3 linked regions of the Rattus norvegicus genome follow. The protein of the gene in region 1 purifies or fractionates together with the protein of each later gene. This does not show direct contact. Links are inferred from orthologs where the notes say so. Each region holds a gene or a part of one and is shown in the gene's direction. Other genes may lie near its edges.

Region 1 (5,734 bases):
TGCTTCCCATCCAGTGCTCATATAGAGAAGTCAGAGGACCTGCAACTATATGGACTCCAGGAATTAAAATCAGGTCCTTGGCTTGAGAACAAGTACTTTACCTTGAGCCTTCTGGCCAGCCTCAGTCCTATGGATTTTATTGTTAGAGGCAGGGCCTCAGGTTGCTAACCTCAACATCACTATATAGTCAGTGATGACGTATTTCTGATCTGCCTCTCTACCTCCTAATGCTGAGATTATAGGCTTCAACCACTGTTCTAGACCTCCTATCAGTGTTGTTGTTGTTTTTTTTTTCTTTTCTTTTCTTTTTTTCAGAGCTGGGGACCAAACCCAGGGCCTTGCGCTTGCTAGGCAAGCACTCTACCACTGAGCTAAATCCCCAACCCCTAGTGTTGATTTTTTAAATTATATTTTAGTATGGGTGTTTAGCCTGCATGAATGCCTGTTTACCATCCTTGTACATGTGCCTATAGAGGTTCAGGAAGGTTTGGATCACCTGGAACTTGAATTACAGATAGTTGTGAACTACCAGATGGGTGTCCTGTGGAAGAACAGCCATCTTTCCAGCCCAAAGTTTTATTTCATTTACTTACTTTTGAGACAAAGAATTACTATGTAAACCAGGCTACACAAAGATTCCCTTGCTTCCACCTCCTGAGCTGGGATTGAAGGTGCACCACCACCAACTCTCATCACTGGTTTGACTACGGCAGCTCTAACCCTATCGAGATCTTTATCTAGATCATTACCGCCCCCTCAATTTTTTAAAAATTCAACTGTTTTTCCCAGTTGAGTCTTTTCTCCCATACTAGAGTTCTTATGTCTTCATCTCAACAAAATAAAAAGAAATAAAACACATCATTCCTTTTTCTCTGACAAAGCCAGTTTCCAAAAGCATTTTATGACGTTCCCATTTCTTTCTCTTCTCCAAACTATTGGAATGTCTGTCAACTATCACCAATCCCCAGTTATTAAATTCAAAAGATATTTCTCAGACTTCTTTTATCTCTTAAGCTATTTCTTTTAAATATTTTTTTTTTATTCCTTAGATTGCCAGCATTTTGCTTTACTCTTAGAGGTGCGTGGAAGAATTCTTGGGGCAAGTGGTTTAAAACCCTCCAGTAACTCAATGGCCATAAAAACGAATTCTAGGTTTAACATTCCAAAACCTACAAGACCTTTAAAGATCTAGTTTTCTCCTTAGTTTGATCCCCAGCCCTGGTGGTGATGGTCTCAGGGATAAAAGAGCTTTTCCTATTTCAGAGTACAATGGTTTGGGAAAGAATGGATCTCACTAGGTTGTCAGTCCGGCTTTACATTCCAGAGGTCAAGTGATCCTCCAGCCTCAGCCTCTAATAGCTTGAGGACAACACGGTATGAGCTACCATGCCTTCATTTTCTTTTGTCTCAGAAAGTGAACTCTTAAGCTTCTAACGAGAGTAAATTTCAAGAAACTTCCAGAAGGCGCCGTGTTGTTGTTCCCAAAGCCTGGAAAACTCTTATCTCGTAGACTTCCGGAGGAACTCCTACTTATCCTTCGTGACTTTAAGAGCAACTTCCTGCGTCAATCTTACAGGCATTCCTCAAGGTAAAAGTTTTGCTCATTGTTGGACAAAGGCGCCTCGGAATTTCTATGACCGTATTCTGTTAATTGAAATGTGTTTACGCATCTATTTCCCTGGTTTAAAGATGCCAAAACATCCTGTAGGCTTTGGCAGTAATTGTAGTTCAAACACTAAGACGTTCAGGGCACAGCTGCCTTCAGCGAGGATGGCTGCACGAACTCCTCCCACCTTCTCTCCAACGGGAGAACCGGTAAGGTTAACGGGTGAGTTCCCAGGATCTCCGCCTGCGTGGCAGGCGATTTAAGTCCACGCCCACCCCCTGCGGTGATTGGCTCCAGCGGTAGAGGTGTGTCTGCCCCGCGGGAGCCCTGCGAGTGCGCAGGCGCACAGATCCTCGGGGCGCCTGCGCACTCTTACGCACCCTGTCGGATCTTAAGAGAGTCCAAGAGCAGCGGGGCCCGGAGAGGAGTGGCTGGAGCAGCCGGGTGAGCCTTCTGAAAAGTAGCTGAGTGAGCTGGTCAGCGGGACAGGTAGGATGATGTCCAAGGAAAAAGAGGGTGTGGTGGTGGTTCAACGTTTTGGGGGTCGGACTGGAGGGGAGAAGGGAGCTCCGGCCAGTTCTCGGTGATTGGGCCGAGAACGAAATCGCCAGGCGTTGGCGACCAGCGCGAATCCCGCACAGGAAGGGAGGCGCTATGGTGGTGCCTTGGACTTGTGTAGATAGGCTCTTCATCCCTCACCTCCAGCCTCACGGCGTTTCTCGTTAGTATTAACAGACTGTCTGGTGGCCTTAATGAACACATAGTTCTGAAATAGTTGTTAGAAGAATGACCCCGAGGCTCCTGGCGTGGCAGACTTCACTGTCTAGGAAAATTCCCTGCTTACCTTGAGTCTTCCCCATGGGGAAGCACCAAGAATATGGTCAGGCAAGAGCAATTTTTTTTTCCCCAATTCGGTTTGTGTGTGAGAAAAGTATCTTAAAGTACTGTTACACTTCTTTCCTTCGTTCTTTATCATTAGTCACTCCACTACTAGGAAAAACAAACTGGTGGTAGAGGAAGCGAAAAACATCCGAGTTGAGGAAAAAGATCTTTCCCTTTTGCTGTTTGTCATCTGGGTAGGTTTGGGCTGGGGGCAGGGATGGTGATTGAAGGAGAGTTCAGAAACTGACAGCTTTTTGACAGAGTGTTCTCAGCCTTATGAAAATAGTATAATTTCTTACTTAAAGATATTTTAAGGATTGAAATAACTTCATCTGCCCTGCTGCCTTTTAAGAGGGTTTTGAGATGTCCAAGTAAAATGCTAATAGTTCAGTCATAGCAAGATAAAAACAGATCCTTCTCACATTCTTTTTATTTTTCTTGGAAAATACTACGCTTAAATTCTGTGAGGCTCTGGGCAGTGGTGTGCACACCTTTAGTCCCAGCACTTGGGAGGCAGAGGCAGATGGATATCTGTGAGTTTGAGTCAGCCTGGTCCAGTAAGGCAATACTTGTTAAAGCACCTTTTTTTTTTTTTTTTTTTTTTTTTTTAAAGAAATGATCTCACTATATAGCTCAGGCTGGCCTGGAACTCAGTCTCTCAAGTGCTGAAATTAAAGACATGCACACTCACACCCTCCCCCCACAATGCTTCTGGAATAGGTCATATTAAAGTAAGTTAAATGGTTAAATTTAGCCTTTACCTTAAATAATTATCATTCTCAGTAGGACCTTTTGTTTTATTTTGATTTTTAGGTGGCTTCTTTTTGGGTGGGGTCCCCTTTCTACATTGTAGCAACTTATAAAACCAAGTGAAATTGGGCCAGAATTGGGAGTGAGTGACTAGAGTTCCAGGTGAGAGTCCAGTGACACCCCATCTTCTATCAGGGAACATCAACAGGCCCATCCAGAGAGTCTTTTGTGAGTAATTCCAGTTGTTCTGATTAAGATGGTAATGGTTATTTATGCTCTGAGAACAGTGTTCCATAATAACATATTTAATACTTCTGAGGCGGTTATATAGGCCAGCCCCAGTGACCTCACGAAACCCCATCTCAAAACAACAATCAAACAATAGACATATATTAGTTCTTTCAGTCTCTTAGTTCTCTCAGTCTGGTGGTGGTTTGCGATATGAGCTCTCAGCTATTGCTCAAGCTTCCTCTCTTCCTGCTGCCTTGCTCCTTGGCCATGATGGTCAAATAAATGCTTTCTTCTGTAAGTTGCTCTGCTTACAGTCTTTTGCTCCAGCAATAGTAAAAGTGTACCAAGACAGAAGCTAGTACTGTTTAGACGAGGATAATGGGGTTTAGTGCATGGCCAAATGCATGAATATTCTAGATACCATATTAGAAATGAAATGTAGCTCCAGTGTGATGATGGATGCCAATAGGCCAGACACCTAGAAGGTTGGCACAAGGGATCAGGAATGCAACACCAACTTGTTACGTAGGATTTGAATTATTTTTATTACAGATAGTTATTTGTAGGGAGGGGTGTGCCTTGGTGTGGACTTGGAGGTTGAGGACAACTTTGGTGGATTGGTTCTCTCCTATCGTGTGGTTCCCGGTTGATTGAATTCAGATTAACAGGCTTGTATTGTTGGATGGTAAGCTCTTGCTTACCTGCTGAGCCATCTTACCAGCCATATGCAGAGAGTTTGAGACCAGCCTGGACTACTTGAAGCTCACTCACTCCCCACCCCATAAAAAATGGAATATACTAGTAAAATATAGTTCTAGAGGGAATCTAAATCAAGTTATTTTGCCTGCTGACTTATGATCTATATCTGAAGTTCTGGCTTTTTTTTTCTTTAATAAATATTTTATGTATGTTCTATCTGCATGTACACCTGCATGCCAGAAGAGGGGCACAGATCATAGTATAGATGGTTGTGAGTCACCATGTGGTTGCTGGGAATTGAACTCAGGACCTCTGGAAGAGTAGGTAGTGCTCTTAACCACTGAGCTACCTCTCCAGCCCCTGATTTATTTTCTTGAATCCATTCCTTACCATTTCTCTTTGGGTTCTAGAAGTAAACAGTGCATAGGTATGTTGCACATATACTTGTACATTTGTAGCAGAGATTCTCAACCTTCCTAATGCTGTGATCCTTTCATACAGTTCCTTATGTTGTAGTGATCCCCCCACCATAGAATTATTTCATCGCTACATCATAACTAATTTTGCTACTATTATGAATCATAATGTAAATATCTGATATGCAGGATATCAGATATACAACCCCCAAGGGGTCTCAACCCAAAGATTGAGAACCACTGATCTAGAGCTTAGAATGAAGGCACTCATGGCATTGAATGTCTTCTATCGGTTAAGGATGATCGACAAGACTTCATCTTACCTAAAGTGTATGTACCCAAACTACCCAAGGCCTTGGCTGATTCCAAGTTTATGTAGGAGTTTCCTGATTTTCTGCTCAAACGTTCGATACTAGGAGTCAGGACTGCAGGTAAAGACCGTGACTTAGCATGAGTGTCAGCACTCTGGCATGGCGCAGCGCACACCTATAATCACAGCACTCAGGAAGCCGCAGCAGGGGGATTGAAATGCAAGGCAAGTCTGGATTACATAGGAAGACTATCTCAAATCATCATCATCAAAGAAATAATATTCACTTCATTGATAACTTATACTTCTGGCTGGTACCGTGCTAAGCACTTAATGTGCATTTGATTTTAGAAACAATTCTGGGAAGAACTTTTAGTAAATCTAAAAAACTATCACATAAACAGGCTAAGTAAATTGGGTGGCTGCTCTAGGTGGGATAAGGTTCTCGTGCTGGTAGCATAGTCTAGCTTGGATTGCCAGTTTAAAATAATTTTCTCTTGTTATAAGATAAGAAACTTGGACTTTTTTCCAATTCATTTATGTTGGTTCTTCAGACAGGTTTTCACACTAGCTTAGGCCAGAATTGAAGGCTTCTTTTATCCCCAGATTGACCTCAGCCTTGAAATCTTCCTGTGTCAGGTTCACAAGTGTCAGGTAAGCAACATCAGACTGGATCTTGTTCACTCTTGCAAAACAAGTGAAAGGCACTTGATGTAGTAAGTCATACCTGAAATCCTCGCACTTGATAGGCTGAGACAGCAGGATAGTTGAAAGGCTACAGTGAGTTTCAGAACAGCCTGTACTGCACAGTGAGACCTTGCCACAAGACAGAACACCTAG
Region 2 (5,606 bases), on another chromosome or scaffold:
TCTCTCTCTCTCTCTCTCTCTCTCTCTCTCTCTCTCTCTCTCTCTCTGTGTCTCTCTCTCTCTGTCTCTCTCTCTCTCTGTCTCTGTCTCTCTCTCTCTCTCTCTCTCTCTCTCTCTCTCTCTCTCTCTCTCTCTCTCTCTCTCTCTTTCTCTCTCCCATATCCTGTTTGGCTAGGCACCATGGGTATAATTCCTAAAACAGGGTCTGTGATCTTACCTGCAGGGGTGGGGGGGGTGTTGGGCCGTGGTGGTGGGGGTGTCTGCTCACAGTTTCTCTTTCCCCACTCTGTGATGTTTCTATCCAGACACTAAGGCATTTGAGCGTGAAATAATGGAATGTGGCATCTTTGTTCTCTGATTAGAAAGTAGAGTGGTCTCAGGGACAGAAAACAAGAGCCTCACAGATGATTTGAACAGCCCCCTCCACCACCAAAGCCTCTCTTCTCAGGAGCCCAGCCTCACAAAGACCAGGCTAATGGCTGCTCTGGCAAGGGAAGCAGGAGGCAGCCTTGAGCGAATTCTGCACCCAGCACAAACTCCCCTGCTCTTTCACCTCCCCCAGACAGCTGGGAACTAACACCTCAGATGACAGAACTTGTCCTGGGGCTTCTGCTGGGAGGGGGTTGGGCACTGCAGCACAGGAGGCTCTGGGAAGCCCACAGTGAAGAGGAGGAAAGCCAGACCCTGCTTGTCTCTGAGAATAAGGCTCTCTCAGGGATGTGTTGAGCACTCCCACCTCAGAGCTACTAGTCCTCCCCTAAAATGCCTCCTTCACCCCGGAGACTTGCTAAATAGGCAGCTGCTCCCTGGTTCTCTCTCTCCCTAGATGCAGGATGGGAGTGTGTACAGCTGCTGTGGCTGTTTCGTGTACTTAAAATGGAGCAGTCAGGAATGGACCAGGTCTAAGATAATATCCTATAGTGTTATCTAGATTAAGCCATTTGACAAATATTGTCTCCATATGTGATGCACTTAAATTTTAGGGTCCAGGGAGAGGCAGTTGGTTCTGTCAAGGTCATGTGTTTGGGACTAATCCACATGTAAAGTTGTGCCTATAACCTAAGTACTTCAGGTACGACCACCCTGTCTACTGTCTCTTTTCAGTCCGGGTTGTATGCTAGAATCAAAGCTGAGGTGGGGCAGCTGACTTCAGTGGGGATCCAGCCTATGGCACCACCAGACAGTCTTGGCCCTCCCTAGAGTCTTTAGCTTGTCTAATTTTTGTGGGGCCTGCTCAAGCTTTGACTGCCAAACACACACCTGGTCATAAGTTCTTTGTAAGGAGGGGCAGTTTTCACAGCCCCCCTCCTGCCCCGGTTTTGTGTGTGTGTGTGTGTGTGTGTGTGTGTGTGTGTGTGTGCCTCTGTTACTCCTTTTGCCCATACCCTGCTAGGAAATAAGAAGCCTCAGATCTCTCTTGAGACATTCAATTGCAGGGTGATGGGCGAGATTAGTTCTCACAATCCCCCTCCACTACAGTGTCAGGATTCCAGTTAGTATTGCTCTGGTACCTATCTTGGTCGCTTCTTGTTTTTCACCCTCAACCCATACACCATGTGTTGGAACCAGGTTGTAGGATGAGACGTCGAATTATAAGGTGTAAGAACCTGTGTATCCTCTTCAAGTATGAGGAAGGATGTAATTTGTGGGGAAGAGATGTATGAATCTCGGTTGTGGGTTCCTTCCAAAAGAGGCAGGTGTCAGGTGTCTTAGGGGCGGCGGTGGGTTGGCGAGCTGGGCCCACAGCCTAAGGCCAACAGACCCAACCAGACGACCCCCGGCCCTGCAGCGCCCCGCCCCCGCGGTCCGCTAGAGACGTGTCGCCTGCCGCGCCCCGCCCACGCCGCAGTGCCCGGATGCGGGTGACGTGCGGCCGCCATCTTCCAGTCCCGGGTAGCCAGCGCCAGTCGGAGCCAGCGCGAGCCGCCGCCGCTGTCACTGCCTCTGCCAAGTCCTCTGCCCGCTACCCCCGCCATGTAAGTCAGCCGCCTGTCACTCGCCACCCGCGATGTTCTGCCCCTTGCGGGCCGCCACCCCAAGGAGTGGGCTGGGAAACACGGGGGTCCCGCCCGCGCCTCTCGTGCCGCTGGCCAGGCTGGTGCCCATGACTGCGCGCTGGTGCCCGGAACCCGGTCTCGTGCGGTCTGGCACGGGCGATGGCCCGCAGGAGGGAGCGGACCCAGCGTCCACCCTCCGCCCCGCCCCTGTCACCATGGCCGTCAGTCATTTCGGGTCGACCCCGGGCAGCATCAAGGAGGTCGCCCTCATTTAACAGGAGGGGAAATTGAGGCACGAGGAGGGTCTCTCAAGGTCACGCGGCTCAACCGCTTTGGGGCCTTAAAGTGACTGTATCTCCCATCGGGTGCCTTCTCGCGCAAGAGAGGACTGGAGGGACTGTGGATGGACAGGTGGATGGGTGGAGCCCGGACTGTAGGGCCAGAGGCTCCAGGCCTGGAGTCTTAATCCGTTTCTCTTCCTTAGGTCGGCTACCGCTGCCACCGTCCCGCCTGCCGCCCCGGCCGGCGAGGGTGGCCCCCCTGCACCTCCTCCAAATCTTACCAGTAACAGGAGACTGCAGCAGACCCAGGCCCAGGTGGATGAGGTGAGTGTGTGTGTGTGTGTGTGTGTGTGTGTGTGTGTGTGTGTGTGTGTGTGTGTGAAAGATGATGGGACTGGCAAATAGGTGTGGGAGCCCATCTTGGGTTGAAGGTAATGACAGTTTATGCCTGTGGGTTTGGGTCCGAGACCTGCCGTATCCCCTCTCTGATTCCCTGTCAGCTTGCACTTGGAAGGGCTGCAGGATGAATCAGTTGTGCTAGCCCGGGGTGTGCCAGCTGGGGCAGGTGTGCTCTGGTGATAGGCTGATCCAAGCCCTAAAGATAGAGGGTGTTGCTGAGCATCTGAGCTCTGTGGCAGCAGCATGCCCCTGATGTGTGCTCCTTGCATGTCCCCAGGTGTGCTAAGCATGTTCTGTGTATGTCCTTGGCATGTTAGCCTGAAAACATCGGGGTGCATGTTCCATGTGTGCCACAATGGGCACATGTTCAAGAAGTGCCCTCCTTAAGGCGTACCTTGGCACACCCCCCTGCCTCGTGGACCCCTCCCCCAGGTGGTGGACATCATGAGGGTGAATGTGGACAAGGTCCTGGAGCGGGACCAGAAGCTATCGGAACTGGATGATCGCGCAGATGCCCTCCAGGCAGGGGCCTCCCAGTTTGAAACAAGTGCAGCCAAGCTCAAGCGCAAATACTGGTGGAAAAACCTCAAGGTAAAGGGGAAGGAGATGGGGTCAGGTGGAGGGCCAGTGGGTGAGTGGGGTGTCACCTCGCCTCATTCACCTCCCTCTCATTCCTAGATGATGATCATCTTGGGAGTGATTTGCGCCATCATCCTCATCATCATCATCGGTGAGTGGAGCAGGAGTGGCCAGGGCCCTTTCCCTGGAGAAGTAGAGGGTTTCCCTGTGGAGTCGGGGCTTTGAAGGTCATTGACCTAGTTTTTACTCTTCTACCAAAACACATTTTGCTGCTATTGGCAGTTCTGACTCACGTAGAGCCCCAACTTGAGTGTTATAGCCTTATTTTCCCTTGTTATGGGTAGTTCTGGGTAAGATTTTGGGGATAGGAATACTGGGTGGTCCCTGGTGCCTTTCTAGGAACCCTTTGAGCCTAAAAGCTCAGTCTGGGGTTTCTAAAACTGGAGAGTAGAAGACAGGTCAGGCTGAGGGTCTTGAACTCCAATCACAGGATACACTTACTCCACTATTTGAAAGCTATCGTCACATGCCAGTGCCTTAAAGGTTTGATACCCCTTTGTGCAATCGTGGCGTTTAAGGGATCTCAATACCCACTTGTGCAGTCCCTTTGAAGAAACTGAGGCAGAGAGAGAAGGGATGTCAGTGGGGGACTGGGGAGGTTTGGAACAGGGCCAGGCCTGATACACTGCTGTCTTTCTCTTCCTTCCCTTCCCCCACCCCCTACCCCTCCTCATGCCCTCTCTCTCCACAGTTTACTTCAGCACTTAAGTCCCTGAGGAGTCTGCCCTGCCTAAGAAGGGCCTCTCCCCCACCCTCAGCCCGTCCTCCACCTCTCAGCCATATCTTTCAGCCCCCTCCCTTGGATCCGTGTGTGTGTGTGTCCGTGTGTGTGCCCCCTGTAAATAGCCAGCTGTTATTTATACATATATAATATTATATATATTTGGTCTGTTTGTAGTTTTATTACTAGAAGATTTTTTCCGGTTGTCCTTAACACCCCTTCCTGAGGTTCCCATCACCTCTCTCTCTCACCCTCTGCCCCCTTTCCTCTTTCCTGTTCAGCCCCAAGTCCCTTCATTTGCATCTGCTATGCAATAGCCCCTCTCCTCCTTCCCTTGGATTTAACCAATCCTTCCCCTATCTTCCCTGTACAATTCCAGACCCTCCCCAAACAGAGCAAACCCCACAGAAACAAACAAAACACCCCACCTGTCTAGGCTTCCATAGGTTGCATCTTTGTATCCCTTGGGAGCCTCTAAGACTGGTCCTACTTGGTCCTAAGAATCCCAAGGTTTTCTGGGAGCTTCCAACATGTTGATTAGCATATCATTTGCATACACTGTCTTTTTTTTTTCCCTGGGTTTCTTCCTTTCTGTTCCATTACTCTTCACTCTTCTGTGTTTTTTTTTTTTCTTTCTTTCTTTTCGGAAGAGTTAGTTTCCATTGGTCCTCTTATCACACTTTTATTTGCACGACATTATCTGCAGGTGGTGGGGAGCCTGGGCTTTTGGGGAACTAGGACCCCAAAGTTGCCTCCTCCCAGCCCCTCTAGTCTAGTTTGCTTCCCTTACCCCATTTTCCACACCTCTTGTACCCTCCTCTCCCTCCCCCAGCTGGTGTGTAAGTGTCTTGGAGTTCAGTGTGTTATGATGGACCAATAATTCTGCCACTTGGGGTCTCTCCCTACATTCCTGCTCCCCAGTTTTCGTGTGGGGCATTCAGCTGACATTCCCGGGGGTCTCCCTCCCTCCCATCTGCCTGATCTGCTGCCTCCTCCCACCAGGAGAACTGGAGGCTGACCACAATCTGGTTCTTTGAGGAGGGGTGGCTCTAGTGTGTGTGGGGGTCATCACTGCCTTGGGGAGGAGTGGGACAAAACAGAACCCCCCCTAATTCCTGCCTGAAATCTCTGGCCTCATCCTTGCTAGAGGTTGGACTGAAAACTTTCCTCCCCAATCCTGGGGGGGGGTATTACCCCCCATCACTGCCCAGCTCCTCTGACTGCCCCCCTGTATTCAGGGTGGGGGTACTAGTCACTGCCAATATGTGTATGGGACTTGCTGGAGGATGGGGATCCTTGTCCTTCTCTAGGGCTGCTGAGCCCTGAGAGAGAGAGAGAGAGAGAGAGAGAGAGAGAGAGAGAGAGAGAGAGAGAGAGGGAAGCAAGCTATTTCCCTGTTGGGTACAATGATAGAGAAAGGATCTAATCTTTAAAAATGGCACAGTTTTAGGGGTCTGAGGGTACAGCCCCTTAACCTGCCTCTTGGGGGGGGTGTTCCCCAAACTCTTCCCCCACACACACCAGGTTTTCTGTGTGGAGGGGAACCAAGGAGATCTAAACTGTGGTGTG
Region 3 (5,624 bases), on another chromosome or scaffold:
AGCTGTACTGTGTGAATGAAATAAAGACATTAAGACGAACCCCTTTCTGGCTGCACGGTCGCTTACGGCAGTTCCACACAGTAGTTGGCGCCCAACGGGGGGTCCCTGAGACTTGCATGTAAAACTAGTCTAGATGTCTTCTTTTTTTTTGTAAGTTTTATTTTTGTTAATTGTGCATGTAAAGCATCATGGAGTCAATGGATCTGTTGAAGAACTCAGCTGCTGGAAACCATGCAAAATGTTTTGAATTGCCCTTAAAAATATGGAAAATGTTTTCTGAATGCTTTCTATTCTTCCTGCTGTAAATTAAAAATGAAGAAAATTTCCCCATATCATCCGCGTTTTGCTTTAACCTGACCTAAAACCCAAGGTGTTGTGGGTGGGAAGTTTGTTTGTTTTTTTTTTTTTTTCACCTCCCACACACAGTGTCCTCCCACCCAGCGTTTCACTTAGAGCCACTTTCCCAAAGCACTTGCCTACCCTGCCTGGTTCCTCAGTACCTCGAGTCTTTCTTCTTAAATGGGTTGCTTGGAAGATAAGGATCTCGATCTTACATTAACCCTTCTCATGTAGCTCAGAGAACCCATGAAGTCCCAACGCTTACGTATAAGGATGACCTTGAACCTCTTAACTGTTTACCTAAAAAGCTTCTGTTGAGATTACGGGTGTGCCGACAGGCTGGGTCTTATCTGGTTCCAGGGGATCAGACCCAGGACTGGATGTTAAGACTAGCACCCTGCCAACTAAGCTACTCTTCAGCTCTACTAGGTAGGTTTGTTTTTTTTTTTTTTAAAGACCCTTTCCAGCTTACCTCACAAAGGCTTCCCTGCAGGTATTTTTTTCCGTTACTGTTCCAGTCCTCTTCGCTGCAGAGTTCTGCTATCTTTCTGGGAGTACTTCACTTCTGATCTACCTCAGAATAAGTGCCAGTTTCACACTCTGAACCTCCCACCAGGAGCCCACTGCAGTTTCTGTTCACTATTTAAGCGCAGCCCCACACTCTCCAGTTGGTCTGTGCTCCTACCTAGAATGTTTTTTTTTTATATCTACTACTCAACCCAGTACCCACTGAAGTGGCGTGCTTTATTGCAATACTCACCTTTGCGAGTTCACCACGCTGAAGTGGAAAATACCTTAGGTGTATTTTACTTAATGAATCCACCAACTGAACTTATTTAGTCTGTTTAAAGAGACTGTTTGGATTCTTTGCGACGTATACTACTCACCCCCTTTGAACAAAAGTTGAGTATCTCTTCTCTGCTAGGACCAGGGAATTACAGAAATGAAGAAACTTACAGTTCTCAAAGTCCAAGGCTCCCTTCAGGAATTGTAATAGCCGTGCAATGGCAAATACTTGTCATGTGAGAACCTGAGAGGGGATTTCTTCCAAACCCTGTGGTCAAGACTCCAAATGGACTTCCTACTGCCTCTTTCTCAGAAAAGAACTTTGTCTCCTCAGGTCCACTAGATTATTCTGGAACGTTAGGCTCATAAGCAGTTTCTAACATGGTCACGACCCAGAGAGAAGGTATGCGGGCTCATAGTAATGTAAAACGCACCCATTCTCACTCTAAACTGCCTTTCCAGGGCTAGAGACAGGGCAGCGGAGACACTGCAGGAAGCTGCTGTGATTCCAAGGCGCTGAAGAGCCCAGCCCAAAGGCGCAGGCGCCGCGCTCTAGCCCCGCCCACTTGTCCACCGAGAAGCCCGCCCACTCGTCAGCGTGGGCGCTACTTCAGCGCAAGCTCTGGCCCCTCCTACTCTGGTCAGCCCGGAGGTTACAGCCCATGTAACCCCGCCCATTTCCGGCGCGCCCTCGGCGGCTGAGAGCGCATCGCCGGTTCCGGTCCTGCCCCTGTTCCTGACGTCACCGCAGCCCCGCCCATCTCCTCAGCCTCGGTTGCCTGCAGCGCAAGTCCACGGACCCTCGGCCATTCGCTGCCGCTGCCGCCGCCGCCAAAATGTGAGTGACGCGCTGCGCTGCGAGGCGAGGCGGGCTCCGGGGGCCGTGGCCCACTCCTGGGACCCGCTTCAGGCGCGGTGGCTGCTGCTCGGCACTCGGACTCGAGTGGAGGCCTCGCGGGCCTAGGTGCAGCGTCCCGGGCCCTGAAGTGGGCGGCGGCCCCGCGGTGCACTCTGCCCCCGGACGCTGCGGGACGAGTCTTGGCGCCGCGACGTCCCCGAGTGCTTCGAGGCCGGCGGGCAGACGCGGAAGGGCGGGGATGGGGGCACCGGCTGACCGAGGAAGCGGCCGCCCCACCCTGCCTCTCCTTCCTCGAGAGGGGCGGGGGCGCTCGCCCTCTGCGCCGCGGTGCGGGGCAGGAGCGGGAGCCCGGGAGGTGGCCCGGAGCTGAGGCCCAGCCCATGGTAGACCAGCGTTTGGCGTCCTCAGAGGAGCTCTCGCGCTGCTAGCGCACCTTGGCAGCGGAAGGTTTCGCTTCCGTTTTAAGCAAACACACTCTTGTTTTGAAATTGGTTTCTAATAGTAACCTTCAGCGGGAATTGATGTATCTACTTCTCGAAGTTGTCACTACTTAAGATGTACCTGGTCAGACTGCTGTGCAAATGACTGTGTCCCGTCCATGCATGAGAGAATTAAAGTGGACCTGGTTTCACTTCAGCCAGCTGCATGTTTTATCCTAAGTTTTAATAAGATGAGGAGGATAGTAATACCCTCTTCATAAAGTTATCAGGCTTCAAAGAGGAAAAAAAAAACATGCATAGTGCTTCCAGAGCACGGCCCTTAGCTGTTTAACTTTCGGACCCTGAGTTCTGAGACAGCCATCAGTGTTGTGTGTCCTTGATGGTGGACACAGTGCTGACTTAAAAGAACTGTTGAGGGGTTGGGGATTTAGCTCAGTGGTAGAGCGCTTGCCTAGGAAGCGCAAGGCCCTGGGTTCGGTCCCCAGCTCCGAAAAAAAAGAACCAAAAAAAACCCAAAAAAACTGTTGAGTCAACCCTGGGGTGACAGTTGTGTACGAAGGCACAGGTTGAGCACTGTCTTAGATACAGGAAGAGTTTAATGGAGTTAATAAGGACTTAAAAGCCAGAGTAGTCATGAAGAGTGGGGATGAATGAAAATACAGATTCACTGAACCAACATGAGATGACTTTCCAACAGAGACAATTGCTTCAGCCACCTTCCCATTCACAGAGACCCCTCGGTTGCACTACTTCAGCACATTGGCTGTTCTGTGATTGTTCCTAACCATAAGGCAGTTCTTGCCACAGCAAAAAGGTCACGAGACTACTGAGTGCCTTTAATCATCTGAGTGCCTTAAAGCAAGTTTTTTTAAAAAGAGGACTTCATTGACACAAAACAGATCTTATTTTGCTTCAGACTTTGGTCACTATGAAGTGATAGTCTTTTTTTTTTTAAGATATATTTATTTACTATATATAAGAACACTGTCGCTGTCCTCAGACACACCAAAAGAGAGCATCGGATCCCATTACAGATGGTTGTGAGCCACCATGTGGTTGTGGGATTTGAACTCAGAACCTCTGGAAGAGCAGTCAGTGCTCTTAACCGCTGAGCCATCTCTCCAGCCCCAGTGATACAGTCTTAAGAATTATTGAGGAATTATAAAAACACATTAGTGCCTTTATTTCTTACTGCAGGGCTTTAGGAATGATTGCAGTATAAGGAGTCAGTAAGACTGAATCCCAGCGGGGCTGGGGATTTAGCTCAGTGGTAGAGCGCTTACCTAGGAAGCACAAGGCCCTGGGTTCGGTCCCCAGCTCCGAAAAAAAGAACCAAAAAAAAAAAAAAAAAAAGACTGAATCCCAGCATAACAGTTTGTACACACAAACATGCCACGGGATACTTGTGAGCAGAGAACAACCTCACATGGCAGCCCTTCTTTCCACCTTAGTAGAGACGGTATCTCTTGTCCAGTGCTGCACGTATCAGGTGAGCTGGCCCTCAGGCTTCCAGGACTCTTGTGTCCACCTCCCATGTCGTGGTCGGAGTGTCGGGATTATGTTTGCCTCATCAAGGGCACCAGGAATCACAATGTACTCATACCTGTGACTTTATACCTTTCAGGTCTACAGGGGTGCCTTCAGGGTCCAGTGCTGCCACTGGCAGTAATCGAAGACTCCAGCAGACACAGAATCAAGTAGATGAGGTACTGCTCTAAAGTTTCAAGTGTGACTTTTAAACACACATGGGAATTCTCTCTAGAATTTTATTTGGAAAAAGAGTCATTGGAGCTAGAAAGGTGTCTCGGGTTGAAAGAACATGTATTGTTCTAGCAGAGGATCCACCTGGATTCCAGTCACTCTCATCTGGACCATGAAACTGCCTGTAATGGACTCCAGTGGCACATGCATGTTCCCTCACAGACACACACATAACTCATTGTTTTTTAAACGTTGGGGGGGGGGGGGAAGCATCACTGACATGTGAGCATAAATTTCGAGTATGTCAGAAGTCATCTTTCTAAATGTGTATTTGCAGGGCAATAGTAAAGATTCTGTGAGAAACTCAAACCAGCATTTCCATATTCTTTTCTTAAAGATTAGTTTTCTTTTTATGTATATGATTATTTTGCCTGAATGTTCTAGAAGCCATCTGCCAAGCACAAAGGAGACTCTTCCTGGTTTCATACTAATTTTTCTACTATCAAATCACAAACCTAAAACATATCCGAAAGTTTGTCCCCAGAGCCACTTGTAAGATAGGGTAATTGGATTGCTCAAGCCAGGAGCAAGTCTTTCTGAGCTGGGTTTTGTTTTGCTCCCAAATTGTTGTGTGTCTTATAGCAGGATTTACTAGTTATCTGGTATAGGCAGGTCTTTGTAGAAGCTTTCTCTGATATTTGTCGAAGGAGCCATAGAAGGTGGAACTGCTGTAGTCCCAGCTCTCCCTGGAATTCTTGAGCTAGTGGAGTCCTATGGCAACTTTTGTTTGGGTATGTACGTGTAGAACCACGGTGAAGAGCCTGTGAGATGGACCACTGTTTCCATACTCTTTTTATTAAGACTTAAGTGTATGAGGTTTTTGCCTACATGCATGTATACTGTGTGTGTGTGGGGGGTGTGAACAGTCTCTGCAGAATCCATCAAAACCCTTAGAACTAGAGTTACAGAAGGTTGTCAGCTGCTGGGAACTAAACCCACGTTGAACCATGTCCCCACTCATATACATATATAATACATACACACAATCTTTCTACTTTTTGCTGTCCTAAAACTAGTTATCTTAGATACTATTATTAAGTCAGACAGTAAGATTTTGCTAGGATGGTTTCTTTATGAACTTAATTCTGAACATTCTAGGCTTTTACACTAATTCTGTCACTCAAAAACTCAAATTCTGTCCTTTTTAGAAATTAAAGAAAATTTAAAGAGAATCTAGTTTTTGTCCCTTGAGGAGAAATTCATGTAACATACCATTAAGCATTTTTTAAAGTCTGCCATTGAGCGTACACTATGTTGAGTATATTCAGTGGGTTGTACAGTCATCACCTCTTCTTGCTTTCAGAACTCTTGTCTCTGTGAGAAGCACCCTGCACTCATCTCACAGTCACTCACCCCTGGTTTTCCTGGTTGCCTGGTAACCTGTAGTTGGCTGTTTCTTTGGGTTTGCCTATTCCAGGTGCAGCATGTTCTAGGGTCAG

The links. The genes of interacting proteins can lie anywhere in the genome.
Region 2: the proteins of Snap23 (region 1) and Vamp2 purify together in Homo sapiens (affinity purification with western blotting; 4 studies listed by BioGRID and IntAct, with this or other methods). This does not show direct contact. The link is inferred for Rattus norvegicus from reciprocal best matches to the Homo sapiens genes SNAP23 and VAMP2.
Region 3: the proteins of Snap23 (region 1) and Vamp3 purify together in Homo sapiens (affinity purification with western blotting; 6 studies listed by BioGRID and IntAct, with this or other methods). This does not show direct contact. The link is inferred for Rattus norvegicus from reciprocal best matches to the Homo sapiens genes SNAP23 and VAMP3.

What each region holds. Positions count from the first base shown.
Region 1 is NC_086021.1:127,965,895-127,971,628, forward strand, and holds the start of Snap23 (synaptosomal-associated protein 23), read left to right. Parts: upstream 1-1,991; 5' UTR 1,992-2,095; intron 2,096-3,074; exon of another isoform or gene 3,075-5,734. UniProt on the Homo sapiens protein: Essential component of the high affinity receptor for the general membrane fusion machinery and an important regulator of transport vesicle docking and fusion.
Region 2 is NC_086028.1:54,290,897-54,296,502, forward strand, and holds the start of Vamp2 (vesicle-associated membrane protein 2), read left to right. Parts: upstream 1-1,892; 5' UTR 1,893-1,974; coding exon 1,975-1,976; intron 1,977-2,481; coding exon 2,482-2,602; intron 2,603-3,109; coding exon 3,110-3,268; intron 3,269-3,355; coding exon 3,356-3,407; coding exon of another isoform or gene 3,408-3,481; exon of another isoform or gene 3,482-4,007; coding exon 4,008-4,024; 3' UTR 4,025-5,606. UniProt on the Homo sapiens protein: Involved in the targeting and/or fusion of transport vesicles to their target membrane. Major SNARE protein of synaptic vesicles which mediates fusion of synaptic vesicles to release neurotransmitters.
Region 3 is NC_086023.1:166,787,809-166,793,432, reverse strand, and holds the start of Vamp3 (vesicle-associated membrane protein 3), read left to right. Parts: upstream 1-1,910; 5' UTR 1,911-1,961; coding exon 1,962-1,963; intron 1,964-4,048; coding exon 4,049-4,130; intron 4,131-5,624. UniProt on the Homo sapiens protein: SNARE involved in vesicular transport from the late endosomes to the trans-Golgi network.